Coturnix japonica: one gene and its partners. The protein of the gene in region 4 interacts with the protein of the main gene of each other region in a biochemical or structural test. Links are inferred from orthologs where the notes say so. Each region holds a gene or a part of one and is shown on either strand. Other genes may lie near its edges. The genes, in order: TNKS1BP1, RNF146, AXIN1 and TNKS.

What was found.
Region 1: the proteins of TNKS (region 4) and TNKS1BP1 form a complex in vitro, tested with the Homo sapiens proteins (2 studies listed by BioGRID). The link is inferred for Coturnix japonica from reciprocal best matches to the Homo sapiens genes TNKS and TNKS1BP1.
Region 2: the proteins of TNKS (region 4) and RNF146 form a complex in vitro, tested with the Homo sapiens proteins (3 studies listed by BioGRID and IntAct, with this or other methods). The link is inferred for Coturnix japonica from reciprocal best matches to the Homo sapiens genes TNKS and RNF146.
Region 3: the proteins of TNKS (region 4) and AXIN1 form a complex in vitro, tested with the Homo sapiens proteins (2 studies listed by BioGRID). The link is inferred for Coturnix japonica from reciprocal best matches to the Homo sapiens genes TNKS and AXIN1.

What each region holds. Positions count from the first base shown.
Region 1 is NC_029520.1:7,745,725-7,750,459, forward strand, and holds the start of TNKS1BP1 (182 kDa tankyrase-1-binding protein), read right to left. Parts: upstream 3,150-4,735; 5' UTR 2,591-3,149; exon of another isoform or gene 2,546-2,590; intron 2,241-2,545; exon of another isoform or gene 2,135-2,240; intron 1,877-2,134; 5' UTR 1,771-1,876; intron 1,267-1,770; 5' UTR 1,220-1,266; coding exon 1,135-1,219; intron 1,025-1,134; coding exon 385-1,024; intron 1-384. Other genes in the region: FACT complex subunit SSRP1, read right to left, coding at 3,647-3,715, 3,910-4,093, 4,271-4,362, 4,637-4,735.
Region 2 is NC_029518.1:53,757,083-53,761,716, forward strand, and holds the start of RNF146 (E3 ubiquitin-protein ligase RNF146), read right to left. Parts: upstream 2,919-4,634; 5' UTR 2,798-2,918; intron 2,717-2,797; exon of another isoform or gene 2,389-2,716; intron 1-2,388. UniProt on the Homo sapiens protein: E3 ubiquitin-protein ligase that specifically binds poly-ADP-ribosylated (PARsylated) proteins and mediates their ubiquitination and subsequent degradation. May regulate many important biological processes, such as cell survival and DNA damage response.
Region 3 is NC_029529.1:10,753,946-10,758,038, reverse strand, and holds part of AXIN1 (axin-1), read right to left. Parts: coding exon 3,482-4,093; intron 1-3,481. UniProt on the Homo sapiens protein: Component of the beta-catenin destruction complex required for regulating CTNNB1 levels through phosphorylation and ubiquitination, and modulating Wnt-signaling.
Region 4 is NC_029519.1:44,121,198-44,125,290, reverse strand, and holds part of TNKS (poly [ADP-ribose] polymerase tankyrase-1), read left to right. Parts: intron 1-332; coding exon 333-557; intron 558-4,093.

The DNA of each region.
Region 1 (4,735 bases), on a different chromosome or scaffold from region 4:
TGCTCTAGCATGAACTAGCAGGAAAAAAAATAGAGTGGAGAAAAGGGGGAACATTTCCCAGGGGCAGTAACCCCCCGTTATTCCCTGCTTGGGCAGCGGAGTGCTGTCTGGCAAGGTTCCAGTCCCAGATGGCTGCAAGCGTGGAGGCAGTTCCTCAGCTGGGCCGGCCCATTCTTGTGGTTTTAATAAACCACCAGAGTTGTCGCGGGTGACCAAGCCTTCCCACGAAGGCGGCTCAAGGCACTGTTGGTTAGGAGGAACAACAGCCTTGTACTGGCGACCAGACCTCAGGTCCCTTCCAGCTCCATTTAGTTCCATCTCTAACTGCCCACCGATGCTTTCCCCATGGTTCCCTGTCCCTGGGACCGATCCTCTGCCCCTCACCTCATCTCAACCATCGGGCATCTGTCACCCCCTGTCCCCAGCTCTCCCTCAGCCTGCTGGAGCAGCTGGCGGGCTTCACCAGGGGAGTCTCCATCTGCCTCCCCACTAGGGCGTCTCCGGAAGGCGGTGAAGATCTTGGAGCCAAAGCGAGAAGAAGAATCGGAGCAAAAGGGAGAGATGCGGGCCCGGTCAGGGCTTCCCTCCTTGCTGTCCATTTTGGCCAGAATCTCCTCCACGGTGGTGCCTGGAAATCGCTCCAGCTTGGTTGCCACAGGCACTGGTGTCACCTTAAAGGGAGCTGGACCTTTGCGGGAAGGCGTCGATGGGGCCGGGGGCACCTCATCACTGGGGGTTGAACACGAGTCCTCAGGAGTGAAAACTGGTGGGGATGGGAGCCCCTTCCCGTTGAGGGTCTCAGGTGACTTGATGGTGAAAGAGGGGCGTCTGAGGGCCACCCCAGAGCCACCCCCACTGTACGGCTGGGGGCCTGCCAGGCGGTTTATCTTCTCTGCGGAGGGCAGCTCAGGACGAGAATGCCGTGGTGCTGGTGGGGGGTGAGGCAGGCAGGGTTTGGCAGGCACGGCTGGCTTGGGCAGCACACGGGGCTTGGGCCGGACAGGAGGCTTGGGGCGAGGACTGCCTGTGGGAGAAAGACGAGGAGAAACATGGGGAGTTGGAGAACACAACAACACCTGCAGACATCTCACTCTGGGTTAAAAACACATATAAGCCATTCAGGGAGATTCTCACCTTTCTCAGAGCTGCCAGCCGCCAGTCCGGTCCCCCCGGAGGCACAGGGCAGTGGGGGGTGCAGGGACTGGGGCTGGGAGGCCATGGTGAAGCCGGAGCTAATGCTCAGCAGACTCAGCGTGCAGTCAGCCCCTGCAGAAGAGAGAGGGGAGAAACGTCACGGAAGAACCTTAGTCCACCCTGTCCACTGGGGCCTGCTGCCCCATTCACCCTGGTGCCCCCGGTCCCTGCTGTACCTGCAGCATGTTGCATTGTGCTGCTGGCTTCCCACTCTCTTATACCAGTGCAGCACACCGTGCCAACCCACTATCTCACCGCCAAGCCTCCGTTCGGCCGTACCACCCTTTGTACACTGCCCCAACCCGCCGGCAGCACCCAACCATAGAGCACACCGTGCCAGTCCCTTGCACACCTCAGTAAATATGTGCACCCCAGCCCTGTTCACCTGGGCTGCCTTCTGTGTGCGGTGCCAGCCCCTCGTCCACCCGCACCGACCCCCCATCCTACACCTGGGGCAGCCCCCCCACCCGCTGCCCGTTCCCTCACGGAAGTGCTCCGCACACCACGTCAGCCCATACCGCTCCCACGTCCCGATCCCCAGCCCCGTCGGGCCCTATAGGGTCGCCCCCCCCTCACCTGCCCCTCGGTCGCCTCATGGCCGGGTCTGGGGCTGGAGGGGAGCGGGCCGCGATGCCCAGGCCCGGTTTGGCGTGGCCGCACGGCTCCCCGTGACTCACTGGCGCTGCGGGGACAGGAAAAACTCGCTCGTGCCTCCTCCTCCTCGCGGCCCTGCCCTGCCCTGCCTTCCCCTCGCCTCCTCCCCGCTCCCTCCTTCCCACTCGCGATGCGGGGTCCCCCCTTTCCCCCCCCCTCTCCCCTCGGGCCCCTTCTCTCTTCGGGCTCCCCCCACCCCGGCCAAACGGAACCGGAGGGGGCACATCTGGAAGCCATCGTCCCCCCCCTCCCGCCCCTCCTCCCCCCGCCGAGGCTGTTTCCCAACCCCTTGGCAGCCCCGGGATGCTGACGAGGCCCCGCTCGGTGACGAGGCGAAGGGAAGCGGGGCGGGGGGGGGAGGTGTGGAACGGGGCTGGAAGGGGGAAGGGAGACAGGGGTGCCCCCTCCCCCCTCCCATCCTCCGGGGCCTGCCCGCGTTGTCACGGTAACGCAGCCCCCGCTCGAGTGGCCGGGCGGGCCCGGGAGCGCCGCCATGGAAACGGAGCCCCCCGCTCCATCGGCGAGGAGGGGCCGCACGAAGGGCCGGGCGGCCCGTTGTGTCCTTCGCAGCCCGAGCCTCGGCCCCGCCGGGCACGACGGGCTGAACGGCCTCAAGGACCCCGACCCCATCGCCACCCTCGTGCCCAGATAACCCCACCCAGCTGCCCGCCGCCCCTCCCCCGTTCCGGTACCGTACCCACGCCGCGCTCCCGCCGTGACCCCTCGCCCTGCCCGCGCTCACCCGCCGCCGCCGCCGCCGCTGCATATTCATGAGCGATGGCCTCGCCCCCTCCCCACCCACCGCGCCCCCACTCGGGCCGCGCCCACCCCACGTGGCCGAGCAGAGAGAGCGGAGAACTAGAGCGGCGCCGCGTGGCACCTCCAGCGGCCATAGAGCACGGGCTGTGCGGGGCCTGAGTGTGAGAGGGCGGTAGAGGGGAACCCCGGGGTGCGGCGGCCCCACAAACCGGCTGTGACCTACAGAGGGGGCGGCCAGGCCGAGCCCCGTCTCCCCGAGCCCGTTCCCCTGCAGCCTTTGACTCGCAGCCAGGCCGCCATGCCGGGGTCAAGCAGGAACGCTGATGAAATGACTATCACCACCACCACCCCCAGGCACGGTGCGGCCCTCCAGGGCACAGAGAACATCCGCACGGCATCGGGATCGACCGCCGGCCCTCCATTAGGAGGCTGATGGAGACTAACAGGATTAGGGAGGCCGCAGGAAGGGGCTCCGGCTGCTAATGGATGGGCTGTGAGTGAGCTCAGCCCCTGGCTGCGGTTCAAGGAGGCCGAGGCGATGCCGGGAGAAAGGCGATGTTAGAAGGAAGGCATCCCAGCACCGTGTGCCCCTGGGGAAGAGGAGCCCGGCCCACCCCCACCTCCACACCCACACTGCAGTCCCGCCGCGGGTGTTTTTTATTCAATTCGAGTTGCCATGTGAACTGACCCAACATACAAAAAGGAAAAAAATAAGAGACCGAAACAAACCCGAGTATTTAAAAAAAATAAATTGATGAGAAACAGGGCAGAAGTGGGATCGAGGCTCCTTCCTGGGCCTCCCCTCTGTGGGGCTTCACTCTGTAGCCAGGCACTGAGGGGAAAGGGCTCAAGCAGTGAAGCTGGGCACCCTCCTGTCCCCACTCCGGTGCCTCCCCTCACCTGGCAGCAGAGGTAGGAGGAAGGGCGGCCAGGCAGGTTCGGAGCCAGCCAGAGCCCAAGAGCCAGACCCCTCCTGCGGGCCGGCCCACCCAGTCCTCACGCTGATCTGGGAACCAGCCTGGAGCCAGCGGGGACAGAACTAATCCGAGCCGGATCCGGAATCCTCTGAGCTTTGGGCCGGGCTGGCGCCTCTCTCATCCTCTGAGTCCTGTGGGAAGAAATGGGAAGTCAGGACAGTAGAAGCAGAGCAGCTCATGTTCACCTGCTCCTCTGCCAATAGCAAAGACCAAACTCAGTCCTCTGCTACAAGACTGGATGTACATGCTATCTGGAAGAATATATGCCTGTAGGGATGAGGTAAAATAAGACCCAGCAAATCCCACCACCAAACCGCCCTACTACCTCCTTCTTGCTCTCTGCAGAGGAGCTCTCGTCGCTGGAGACAAATTCCTTGCTCTTGAAGCTCTCACTCATACTCTTGGCAGAACTCTTGGTGGAGGACGAAGACTTGGAGGCAGCACCCTTCTTCTCCCCTTTCCCCTTCATCTGTTTCTCCTGCTTCTTCTTCTTCTTTTTAGACCTCTCCCTGTGTGTGTGTTGGCAGGGTGGAAGAGACAGAAGCATTACCTTGCTGACAGCTCACTGGTCCCATCTCACAATCCCCCAGCCTCAGAGAGGCCCAGCCACCACAGCAGCTGAGGACAGACAGATTCCAGAACAGTGAAGCCCTGCCACATCCCTCTTGTCTGCTCAGCATACTCACATCTTGGAGCTCTCTGACTTATTGCCCACGCTGTACTCTTTCATGGCCTTCTCATAATCCCTCTTGGCATCTTCTGCCTTGCGATCCCATTCCTGCAGCAAAAGCAGGTTAAGTGGCACTTTGTTCCCACACCATCCACCATCATGAGCATCTGCACCACCAGAGTCCAACACGATCTCCACCCATGTCCCTGACCACCTGGAGACCTTACTCACACACCAGCTGAGATGTCAGCTCCCCACTGCCACCCTCCCTTCCTGATCCGTTAATGGAGCAGCAGGATCCCGAGACCAAGCAAGAGCATCCTGACATCCACCTTCCCTTCCTACATACGGCTTAGCAATCCACACTGGAAGAGCAACCCACCTCTTTCTTCTCCTTAGACATGGCTTTCCAGAGCTCCCCAGCCTTCTTGGACAAGTCTGTGATGCTGATACCAGGATGGTCTGACTTGATCTTCTCACG
Region 2 (4,634 bases), on a different chromosome or scaffold from region 4:
CTATCTGTGGCAACCTGTGAGTGTCCCTTCCTCACCAAGCCCACGAGGACTATTGCACACTGATTCTGAAACACTCAGCCCACAACAGATGAAGGACAATCCGACCCACTGGGAATTGGAATTTAAACTTGGCATCGCCAGCTGGGCAACAACTGGTGCCACACTGTGGCTCAGCCAGCGTTAACCACCCCTTGTTTCCTTGGCAGGCTGTCAGGACGCCTGCTAGGGAACCTCGTGCCAACTTCTTCCACACCGTGTTAGGATGCTGAAGCAGTGTCCCTCCTAGGACACCCGTCATCCAAAAACGGCATGAGGTCTTTGATAAAATCATCAAGCTTTCACTTGGCCAAGATGAAGTGAAACCATCTCCTGTCAGATCAGTCAGCTGCTGCCTATCAAATTCCCAGTAGCGTATCATAGCCAGGGCATTATTTTTCTCACTTTTCTACTATTTTGGAGACACAAGTGATAGGAAAAATAGCAACAATAAACACATTTCCAGAAACATAAGAAGCCAGATCCTAAATATAAGTGCACTGTTTGTTATTTACGGCCCTAGGAAATTTTTGTAAATAAAAGTTTATCTTCTTAGGAAAAGAAGAAAACAAAACACCACTGGTAAATTCAACTAAAGCCAGCTTCTCACTCGCTGAAGGCTATCACTTAAACCCTGCCTCAAATGAAAGGTGATCGCACAAGTTCTGCAACACCAGACAGACCACTTTACAACAGTTAGCACAAACTCATTCGTTGACTGCCAGAGGCTGAAAACTGAACAGGTGCAGCGCTACAAAAGAAATGATCAAAGGTAAACGTTCTTCTGTGATTCAATACTTGACTGTTACCATCGGGCTCCCTAACATATATCTCAGTTACTAAGGAAGTAGGGTGGGGGAAGGTAGAAGCAGAGGAAAAAGGATCCCAGAACTCTTCCCTATAGGACAGCGTGAGCCAAATGCTGGTAAAGGAAGGAAGGATGGTAGTAGTTGCTTTATGCTGGTGGTGTTCTGTTTCATAAGGGAGAAAAAATAATAATTATATATATATATGCATATATATATCTCCCATCTGGAGGCCTACTGTCACAAGTACAGTATTAGCTAAAGGTATGGAACCTGTCTGGTGTTTTTGCAACTGCCTGCAAGCATCGGACAGCACAGCAGGTAAATAATCTCACTGCCTCCTCTCTCTCTCTTAAAATACTTTCAGAAATCAATGATGTGATAAGGCTTCAAATTCCCTGTCGTTCCTTTAAACAGCATTACTACACTTTAATTTTAAGAAGCTTGTATATTGGTGTGGGTCCGAGTTACAGAAAAACAGTCAAGTGCAGAACAGTCAACCATTTTGATACTGAATGGCTACATATTTATTCAAACTGAATTTCTTCTGCTGTGCTATAACTGGGAGCCCGTGTCCTACTTCATTTGACTTAAGTGAGGAAAACCTCAGTTTCGCACTCAAATAAGAGGGCACTGACAAAATTCCTGTGGGAAAACAAAGCAAAAATGGGCTCATCTGAAGCTATCGCTGCTTCTGAGAGAGAAATGAAGTACAGGAGCATTGTGACATATAAATTAACATGCACAGAAGGAGGAAAAAAAATAATCATCGATTCCAAGAAAGATTTTTCCCCAGCAACACCAAGAGCCTTCCAAACCTTATTCGACAGCCTTCAAAAGTCCTGCAGCTTCATCTCTCTGGGCAATTCCATTACATCTACATGGATGTGGTGGATTTAAGAGGAAACAAAAAGAACAAAACTTTCACTCGGCCATTTAAACAATCGGTACTTTGATTCGCTTGGAAAGAAGCCACAGCGTTAAACCTCACAGGGCTATAAAGCAACTCTGCGCAAACATAAAATATTTAAGATTTACTCAAAGTGACCCAAATCAATATTCAGGTTTTACCGTGCCTTCGGTACAACCGCAAGTGATCACTTTTGGCTGTGCGTTTTCAGAGGCACTTGAAGGCCTATTTTTAAGCAACCCACTGCCCAGAGGCAGCATCTAACAACGCCGCAGCGCTGTACCTTCAGCGCTACCGATGTGACAGAACACTTTAGAGCTCCGCTCCCTATTCTCCCTTTTAATTACCCCCTGCACGCTGCGCTCCCAGCAACAAGCTCTACCCTATTTCTACTTCACGTCGCAGAAAAGTTATGCGAAGACGGAAATAAGACGCCTTAATTGGGGTTTCTTCACATGCAAAAAGCGGACATCCACAGCATGAAAAACCTCGTATTCACCGAGTATTTCGCAATCATTTGTCAGCGGTGACAATACATATAGCACAAAGCGCAGGACCTATTTTTCCGCCCCGCTTTACCACTCCCGAAGGATGCAATTAAAAACCTCGAGCACAGACACATGGAAACAAAAGCACCTGGCGGCACCGCTCGCAGCTCCTCACGCTCTTCCTGTTGTGCTCGCCGACATCCCTCGCTCCCCCTCCGGCTGCGAGGCTCGGCCGCTGACAGCGGGCGGACAGCAGCCGAGACCCGGCCCGCCGCCCTCCCCTCTCCGCCGGGCCCAGTGTTTCGCGCAGGGCCGCGGCCTCCTCCCTCCTCCCTCGATGGCGAACAGCGACGCCGCGGGACTTGGGCTCCAGCGCGGACAGGAGGGCGGCACCCGCCGGTCCTCGCCCGCCGCAGGGCCGCGGCAGGCCCGCTCCGCCCGCCGGCCTTTTGTTTGGGGCCGGCGCCTACCGCCCGGCCAGGCCTCGGCTCCCTCCCCGATCCCGATCCCGGGGCGGCCGCTGTCAGCGCTGACCGCCCACCCAAGCCGGGACTCACCCGCCGGGCCGGGCCGGCTCGCGCCGCTCCGCCGCCACCTGCCGCCGCCTCCGCGGGACGCTCCGACGTCACGGCCGGAGCAGAGCGGGGGAGGCCGCGCCACCGTGACGCCGCGGATCGGGAGGAGCCACAACCGGCTCCGCCGCTGGGGGCCGCGCTCGGGTGACGCCATGGTGCCGCGCCGCCACACCCCGCGCTCGTGATGCCGCCATGGCGACGGGGCCTGGAGCGCACCATCCGCTTTTGGGGGTTCGGTGTCTCCGTCGAACGGAGATTACAGGAAAATAAAGCACCCTGAATGAAGTGTTCTCAGTAATAAATAAACCCGCGTCTGTGTTCCGGGGTCTGACAGTTTAGTTCGACCGAGAAAATGCAGTAGTGAACGTATGGTTTCATTTTACGCTCGGTGAAGAAATGGTTAAAGGCAATATCAGGTTGTGCCGAAGCTGGTAACCGAAGAATGGTACCTGCAATAACATCGGCCTTCATTGCCAGCTTTAATTTCAGTCTAAATGCATGTTGTGTTCGCATCTTTGTGCTGGCTCCTGCAGCACATCGCCCCACGTCCAGCAGTGGTTTCCTTAACGTGCATTAGCTGTACCTGTCTATTGCAACTGAAAGCACCACCACTCTGTCTGCCTCTGCTTCCTTCGTAGCTCCGTGCCCTCCTTTGTTTCTCTTTGTTACCATTGCCTACAGCGTCGTCAATCTGGAATTCATGTCTGATACTTGCCACTACATTTTTAATGTGCACAGCGGCTTGAAAAGTAAAGATTCACCAGACTAGTCCTGAGAAGACACCTCCTCCCCTGGCAAGAGTCTGCACCCCCACTATTAATATTCTGCTGATGCTTTGGCAACTGAGAGCTATTAATCATGTTTCAGTCCTTCTATTTATAAAGACCTTTCTTCTGCTTCTTTAGATGTGTATGATACTATGTAAACCCTTGGAGACATGCAGGTATACTATGAGCTCAACCCCTGCTTGTGACATAGCTGGGGGAAGATAGGAGAAAACAGTCTCCTGCTGTGGCTTGAGTCTGTATCAAAATAGATTTTGGAGAAGCTCCAAGCTTCTCCAGGTCACAATAGAAGCAAAAGAGTAGGTGATTTGTGAATCACAGAATCACACAATGGCGTGGGATGGAAGAGACCTCAAAACCCACACAATCACAGCCCCCTGCCATGGGCAGTGCTGCCACCCACCAGATCAGGCTGTCCAATGGCCCCATCCAACCTGTCCTTGAGCACCTCCAGGGGTGGGGCATAAATGGGATAGGATATGGAATCGTTTCCCCTTTTCCTCACACCTACAACTTCAGCCACCCCTCTGAACAGAATGAGAAGTTGTGAATCCACCAATATGGCACTAGAGTGACAAGTGTGCCCCTGGTTCCTCTGTGCGGGCAGCCAGAGGAGGGGCTGAGGAGTGAGTTCCAAAGTGAAAACATTAAAAGCAAATATCCTGACAGTGTTTTGATGACACATTTGTTCCATGAAACCCTGTTGCTTGTAGCTCACTGTGTTCCTATCCTCTCAGCTGTTGTAGAGCTCCCCCCACGCGGCTCTAACATTTTCATTAAAGTGATATGTTGTTGCCATCACCAAAGGCTGGCTGGGGTATGGAAAATCTCAAATCTTCCTTTTTAAAAGTTAAATATGTTGTTTCTACAGTACTTGACACAAGATTGTCCTGTGAGTACTGTCACAGCAGTATGGTGGGCCAGAATGACAGTCACTGAGACAAACATACATCTGCATCAGCTCCCCAGAAGTGCAGTTGTTATGGTGAAGTGCAAGGCCTGGCTGGCTGCAAGGTGATCAGCAGCCCTCCAAA
Region 3 (4,093 bases), on a different chromosome or scaffold from region 4:
GCTGTTACATACAGGTACAACAATAACGAACAGCCTCATATAAAGCAAATGGTCCCTCCTGAAGCTCCAGTGGCTCAGCTCACAGACACATGTGCTGATTCTTCAGCTCAAGGCAGCGCTGGTAAGACAGCAATGCAAACATGGAACAGCCTGAATGCAGACTGTTCTGCACCAACTGCTGTGACTGCACATCTCCAGCCTTCTGCTCACTCAGCACAATTAACTCCAACTCCTTCACCGCATCGTTTTCACTTAGAAGTGTGCAATTTAATATTTAATTGTTAATGAAGCAGCAAGCCTCAAAATCAAGTCTGCCAGCTAAATTTCAGCTCCTTCCTGATGCAGGCCAAACCTGTGACTGTCAACCTGCTGATGTAATCCACACAGCAGAGATCCCACACCTGAACCAGGCCCTGCTGCTCATCTCTCTTGCAATGCAGCATTACTCACTGAGGTTTGGGATGAGTCTCTGACTAGAGGTGTTGCATCCCGCTACAGCTGCTGCTCCTCTTGCTCAGCACCCTGTTATGAAGAACAAGCAGTGTCCTGGGGAGAGCTGCTCCATTTCCACCATGGAAAGCAAAGGCAGAGCTTGCGAGTGCTGCTCCCCAAAGCCCTGGGAGGGGATGGGGAAACCCTCCTGATGCAGAGCTGAAGAGATGACAGAAGGGACCCATCTGTTTTGCAGGAGTGCTCGAACACGGGGCTGCAGGGCAGTTCTAAGGCACGGCTGTAATTTCTGCTCCTCATATCTGAAAACCCCAGTCCTGGTGTGTCAAAAGAAGGTTAATGAAAGATTTAGCTGCGCTCACAACCACGTTAGTGTCGGTTTCGGAAGCTGAGAGTTAATGCCTGAGATCTTCAGGGGTTGCCCCCTTTGAAGTTCACTGATCCATAACCAATGTCCAATTAATTTGCAGGAGCCTAACTATAATGACTATTGGCCTTTTCCTACACGTATAAAGACGCAGTGGGTAACAGCAGTGCTTTTTGCTTTGGGATATTCCCACATACACGCACACTGGCACACTTGCCCAGCACTAACAGTGCATTGCCTTTTGCACTCGTGGGCACAGAAATAAGGCACTAAGATTTACAAACCTGCTGCTGCAAAAAGAATTGGAGCCGATTCAAGATGCTCCCTAGGCTACCAGAGACACGTTCCTATCGCATCTGGTCGGATTCCTCTTTATTTAGAGTTTCCATGGAAGCCAAGGAATAGACGTTAAATCTTGTGAAGATTAAACAGGCCTTCAGCTCTAACGCAAAACAGCTTATTGCAACATTCCCTCAACAACAGAGACGAGAGATTCTTCCACAAAGGAAAAAAAAAAGAAGCCTGTAGAAACATTCAAACCAAATCAGGACAGACTCAGCCTTCCAACCATGGCACAAGGATCGCTCCCTGCTGCACGCAGCTCCACCAGCTTCCAAGGCAGGAGAAAGCAGAAATGTTTGCACGTTAAGATGCCGCTGTTTGAAAAGCAGTCTGTTGGAGGCAGCTATTTCGATGCAGTGTTCAGGAAGCAAGCTATTTCAGCCACAAAGGCTTGCACAGAGACCAACAATCAGACTCCTAAATTAGGATCTCAGCAGAACAAAATGCATAGATCACCCTACTGAGCAGCACCCATCTTCCATGGAGATGCTCCGGACATTACAGCGGCCGACAGACCAGCACTTCAAATAAATCATCACTCATTTTCAGTTACTTACTCCAGGCTCCAAAATGACTCCTGCTCTGGTGAGAACAGTAAACATATCCCTGCCTCCGGACCCAGCAGGTCAATGGAGTGTCTGCAGCCACAATGACAGGCTGTCAGACACAACAAATTAACAGCAGCACGTTTCTCCTGACCTCCATCCCCCAGGTAAAGACTTATTTTGGGCTGTTCCAATCTAGTCAGAAAATGCACGAGGTTGAGGAACGCCACCCCAAAATATTTCTATTTCACAATGTATTTCTGAACCGTTTAGAGTTTGGCACGAACACATTCAGGTAATGCATAAACAGCACTTTTTCTGAAGCAGGACCTGAAGAATGCAGCTTTCATGCAGGTTTTCACTACCTGCTCTAGAACAGAAACTAAACTCAACTGGAGCAAGTCATTGCCAGTCATAAGCCATTCTTACTTACATAAAAAGACACTTCAATTGTGGACTTTTCTAGTCCAATCCAGTCAGTACCCAGCACTGGGGGAAAACCCACTGCAAGAAACACTCAAGGTTTTTATTAACTCCATGAGAAAGTCCCAGGACTCAGGGGTTCTGTTTCTCAGACTCCTGATTAAAACAGCACGAGTTCACACCGATTCCTCTTGTTTTTCTTCCTGAGTTTCACGTGCAAAACCCCCTCCTCAAAATCTGTTTGAAAACAGGAATCGAAATGAGAACACTTTGCTATCTAAAAGGCGCTGAGACCTTGTGAAGGGTGGGATGCACATCCAGCTGCCAGCATAAAGGGATGGTGTGGGGAGAGGAAGCACAGAAATGCAGCTTCCATGAGGACAGTTCAGCTACTTCATTTCGTAACCATCAGAGAGTGACAGATCTCATCTGAAGCAGGTCTTAAAACAAGGAGATTTTATTTTAAAGGAGGAGGAATGTGTGTCTGGCTGCGTTGTGTTGATTCAGCAGGGGTTACACACACACGCGCTTATTGATCCCAGAGAACTCCCTGCTAAGTTAATTGTCTGGAATTTTAACTGAGCTCTCAGCAAGTTTCAAAACGCGTGTTGGTTGGAAATGGGTGGGGGACCAAAAGAAAAGCACAGGCTGAAAAACTGGGCAACTCCTCTAGAGCAGAAAATCAAATATTGCGATGAGGGGAAAAGCTGCAACACAGAATAATTTTAACTGGGTTTGGCTGGAATCCACTATCAGAAAGCTTGACTGCAAAGCAATAGCACTTACAGGGAGCATCATGAACCCCATTTGACCCATATACACATTACAGACGTTAGGGTATTTCCCGCAAGCTTCCTGCAGCCTCTAGTTGTGGCTCATCACCATTTCCTTGTATATTTACAAGGGGTTTTACCACGAGCTGTACTCATCTGCACTCATGTAACTGAACACTGACCTTCCGTCACTGCAGGCTACAGGCCAGCCTGACACCACAGCTCTCTGCTCGCTCTGTGCAGACTGGGGCTGCCCACAGCTCTGCACCGTCCACTGCCTCCTACCTACACCCAGACCACGTTCAGCAGCATTTCCTCACAGCAAAGAACAGATCGTAGAGGTGATTTGGGGGAACTGGACAGGAACAGCCAAAGACACCCTTCAAATAACTCACTACATTCAAGTAAAGCTGTGTTTCAGCATAACACCCATGCGACACTGTCCCATGCTGATGCTCGACCAGCCCCAAGCACTTCCAGCTGTCAAACATCCCCCGCTTCCCAGCAACTCCAATCTCACAGCAGCCCCCAGGGGCACCTGGAGGCCCCCAAAGAAGGGCCCAGCTGGGACACTCACATACCTGAACTCCCTGCCCTCGCTGTACCGCCGGGTCGAGGTGGCACGTTGGGTTGCAGTCTCCAAAAGCAGCTTCTGGGTGAGCCTGCTTGAGGGCGCCGAGTCCCTGCTGGCCTCAGGCTCGGTGTCTTGGTCACATTTCCACTCCTCGTCCTCATTCAGAGTAGGCAGATAACCAGGCAGCCCTTTACCTGTCCCAGACCCTGAGCTCGGATCGCTGTAAATTTTAGGACTTTCCCCACCTGTCCTTGTGTATTCCAAATAAATATCCGACTTAAGGAACAAAGGGTAGGTATTGTCTTCTATCATGCATTGAATCTCAGTTTGGGCCTGGTCAAACATGTCAGGGTCAATCTGCAGTTTCATGACACAGTCTTTTATGAAGCTTTTTGTGGCTGGTTTGATCTGCCGGGACACAATGCCGTTGTTGTCGAGAATGTACTTTTTGTAAATGGCTTTTGCCAGTTTGAGTCTTTTTTCCTCATTGGACACGCAGGGCTCCAGCTTCCTGAAGCCACTGCAGGCAAACCAGAAGTCCAGCAGATCCGCACAGTCCTCCTGTTTCAGGAAAGTCCTGAAGAGATTGATACCGTCTTGATCATCGAGCAAGGAGTGC
Region 4 (4,093 bases):
ATCTGAGAAGTCCTCATACGTGAAGTACTGCCTGTCACAGAGGGTGCTGGCTGCTGGAAATCATTTGTCACCACTTTAGCAGCATGACACTGCAGCTGAGTTGTATGTTCGTCTCGGAGAGCTGACAGCTTCTTCCTTGCATCCTTTAAGTGTTATGTATTAATTTCTCTTCTGGAAAAATAATAATGTCTTCTGTATTTAGTCTCTGGCCTGTGCATGGAGTTAATAATGTAATTGGTATTTGTGCCCTGGAGTAAGAGTGAACAGCTTGTTTTAAATATTGTCATTTTTCTTTTTGCAAAGCATTTTAACAGCAGTGTGTTCTCTTACAGGGTTTGGAAGGAAAGATGTTGTAGAGCACTTGCTACAGACAGGAGCCAACGTTCATGCTCGTGATGACGGAGGGCTGATACCCCTTCACAACGCCTGCTCCTTTGGTCATGCTGAAGTGGTTAGCCTGTTACTGTGCCAAGGTGCAGACCCTAATGCTAGAGACAATTGGAACTACACTCCTTTGCACGAGGCTGCTATCAAGGGGAAGATAGATGTGTGTATTGGTAAGTCTCTGTCACTTATTGTAACTTCACCAGATGTGTATTTTGTGCGCTTACAATTTAAACCATTGTGTAGGTATAGTGACAGTCATTCAGGACTAACTTTTTCATGTTGTGCAGTTCAACCTTTGCTGAACTTGCATCTGGAAAATGAATATAGAGCAGGTTCGTCAAATCTCCTGCTAAATTAGGGCCTTCAAAACCTGAATGTGGAAGTCTCCCTGCACTCTGCTAAATGTCTTTGCTTTTAAGGCTGCTCAGAATGTTGGGTTAGTGCTTAGAAAGATGGTTAACCTTTTATTCTGTACAATATGGAGTAATGTTTGTCCTTTGCAGCTTTCAAATACAAGTTGCAGGACACCACCGCTTACAGTGGTTATATATCTTCAGTGTGTGCTGTAGCCTGGAGCAAAAGCAATTTCAAATAAAATTGAACACTTCAATCATTTTAAATGCACCCAGACCGTATAAGGGGCTTTTCAGCAAGATGTCGTTAACTTTTATGGTGTTTTTTCCCCTCAAAGTATTTAGTGTTACTTCCTTTTTTCATAAAATGTCTTAAGTTGGAAAGGAGCTTAAGACCCATACAGTTCTGACCCCCTGCTTTGGATTAGGCTTCCCAGGGCCCCGTTCATCCTGGCCTTGAATGCCACCAAGGAAGGGGTATCACAGTGTCTCTTGGACAGCTAGTGTCTGACCATCCTCAGAATCTGTTTCTTTTTTGCATTGAGTTTGTTTACATTTTATACTTAGTGGGTCAACTAGTTGGCATGATCCTGTTTCTCCTTAATGGCTTTATATATATATATTTATATTAAGGTCTTCAGCCTTTATCTCAAAAGACCCTGTGAAGGAACAGAGTATGTACAAAGATAATGAACAATGATTGCTTAGGGCATGAATACTAGGACTGAATACTTGAATAGCTTCGTGGAATATGTTGTACAGTAATACTATTTACGCCTGAAATGTAGACTGTTAGAATTGATATAAAGGAGGAAATTGGCCTGCTGAAATCACATTCTTAATGTTTCTTTTTAAAACAAGTGAGGTCTGCTTTTTAAAAAGCCTTTAATTGAAGAATATTCTCTGGAAATCCCAGTGTAATGTGGGATTTATTGCTGAACTTAAGTATCTGCCTGAAAAGCAGTAGACTCCATAGGAATTAATTATCTAACCATATCTTTGTCTATCTCTAGGCACCTTCCAAGTGATGCAGTGGGATAATTTGTGCAATTTATTTTCTCACCTTTACTCTTTCTGTGTCACCTTATTCTACATCTGTTCTTTATCATTCCCTAGCATAGAATACTGTTCTCTTGGCCACTTTTACAGGTCAAAAAGGGATAAAGTGATAACTGAACAGAGTGCAAAGCTGTGGCACGTTCACGAATAGCAACAGGGAAAACTCAATGTTCTGAAGTGGTTGGAAGACCAACAGAGGCTAGATGATGATTGCAGTAGGATTGTAGAATTTGCTTTTGACTAGCACTAGCCTTGCAAGAGTATGTATGTGTTTGCACTGAAAGTACTATTAAACTCAGCTTTACAAGCTGAAGTTAAACTGTTGCCTGTGAGCTCTGCCACTTGGAAGCTTGTGTAGTAATGGGAAATGTCATAAACTGGTTAAAACTTGAAGTATGTACAGGCTTCTCTGGAATCTAAACTGGAAGAGAGCAAATGACAGTGATATGTGGTTTCTTGTGCTTCTGGTGTTGATTTAATATTAGACTCATAGAATCATTGAGGTTGGAAAAGACTCTTAAGATCATGAAGTCTAACCATAGTACCGTAACTCTAACAACCCTCTGGTAAATCATATCCCTGAGCACCACATCCAAACGGCTCTTAAACACATCCAGGGACGGTGACTCAAGCACCTCCCTGAGGAGCCTATTCCAGTACTTGACTATCCTTTCTGTAAAGAAGTGTTTCCTAACTCTTAACTTATCTGTGGGTTTTAGACTTCCCCAGTTGGTTTTCTCCATTTTCCTAAAATTCAGCAATCAAGAGAAGGAGTCTCTTCCTCATTATTCTGCTGGGTACAAGACAATCTATGGAGGACAATAAACCACTTTACTTATTTTGTGATACTTCTTTACAAATAATGTTTACAAATAATTGAAGTCTGGTTACTTGCATCAAAGAGTACAGTACAGTAATGTCCAAAACTTATTTTGTATCTGTATGAAGTAAGGTCTTCTAATATTAACTTTTAGCAAACAGAGGGAAGGAAGGTGGAAGAAAGAAGCAACTTCATATTACAGGGATTGTTTAATGGAGCTGATGCTGCTCTTGCAGGCACTAACTGCTTGATTTCAGGTGTCTGCTACCAGCTTTCTAAATACTGTGCAGAAATACTTAGTTTTATGGGATTATACTTCAGATTACTGTAGCACTCTCTGCTTTTAACTTCTCAGTGGAGCCACGCAGTCTTAATGCAGTTCGTATGTGGTTTGAAAACAGTCTCTAGGTAAATGTGTAGCTGTTAAGCTGTAGAAGTGGCCTGGTCCAGCAGAGCTCCTGGATCTCTTCCAAATCTAATGGAAAGCATGGATTAAAGTATGGCTATAGAATATAAAGGGTTTTGCTTGTAAAATGTGTGGGTAGTTAAATACTTGTCATGTAATAAACAATGGCAGCTGCCTTGCTTTATGCTGGGGAAAAAGCAAATCTTTAAAGCAAGTTCAGAAAATGCATTTTGTGTGATTGAAACCTACTGAAAATACTGAGTGATTGCCTCATGTTCTGTTATTTGCTTTAGTCTTTCATGCAGTTAATACTCATGCTGACTGTAGATTCCTGTGCTGCAGTAAATCCTTATTTTTCCACACTTAAACAAACATACCGTGTTTCTTACATAATGCTGTTCCTTTACGGGAAAGACTGAGGTGTCTGATGTGAATCCTGCTGTTTGTGCTGCTGTGTATCCTTTATGGTTTGGTATGATACAGTGTCTAAGCAGGCAGAGCAATTCCTTGATTAGGCAGCATGCCCTTGTCTTCACTGTGATCACTGAGTACTGAACTTCCATCCTCATTATTTAAGATGAGGCAAGTCAGTTGTATTACTGATGTCCTTAAAGTGATCACTCACTGACCCTACAGTAATTACTGTATTTCTTTTGCTGCTGCAAATAGCAAAGCTTAAAAGCTAGAATTTCAAACGATGAGAGAGGAAGCCAAGAGGAAGTGGCTGCAAAAATGTATTTTCTTGGTTGGAGTGATGTAAGGATGGTGCAGCCTAAAAGAGGAATTCACTCAGACTGACCTAAATGGATGATTCCTTGCTGTGATATCTACAGTGGCTGTGATGTTTAGGTGATAGGCTGAGGGATTTTGACAGTATAGAATATTTTGGTGTCTAAGTATCATCCCCAAGTGAAATACTGTTGAAAACTTGGGTGATATCTGTAAAGACATTGCATATTCTTGCCCTGTTCTTAACATACTTTTTACTAGGTATCCTGTTCTAGCTGTTGCTAGAGATGGTACTCCTGCTTTAAAATTGACCTTTTGGTTCACACAGCGCAGTCTATT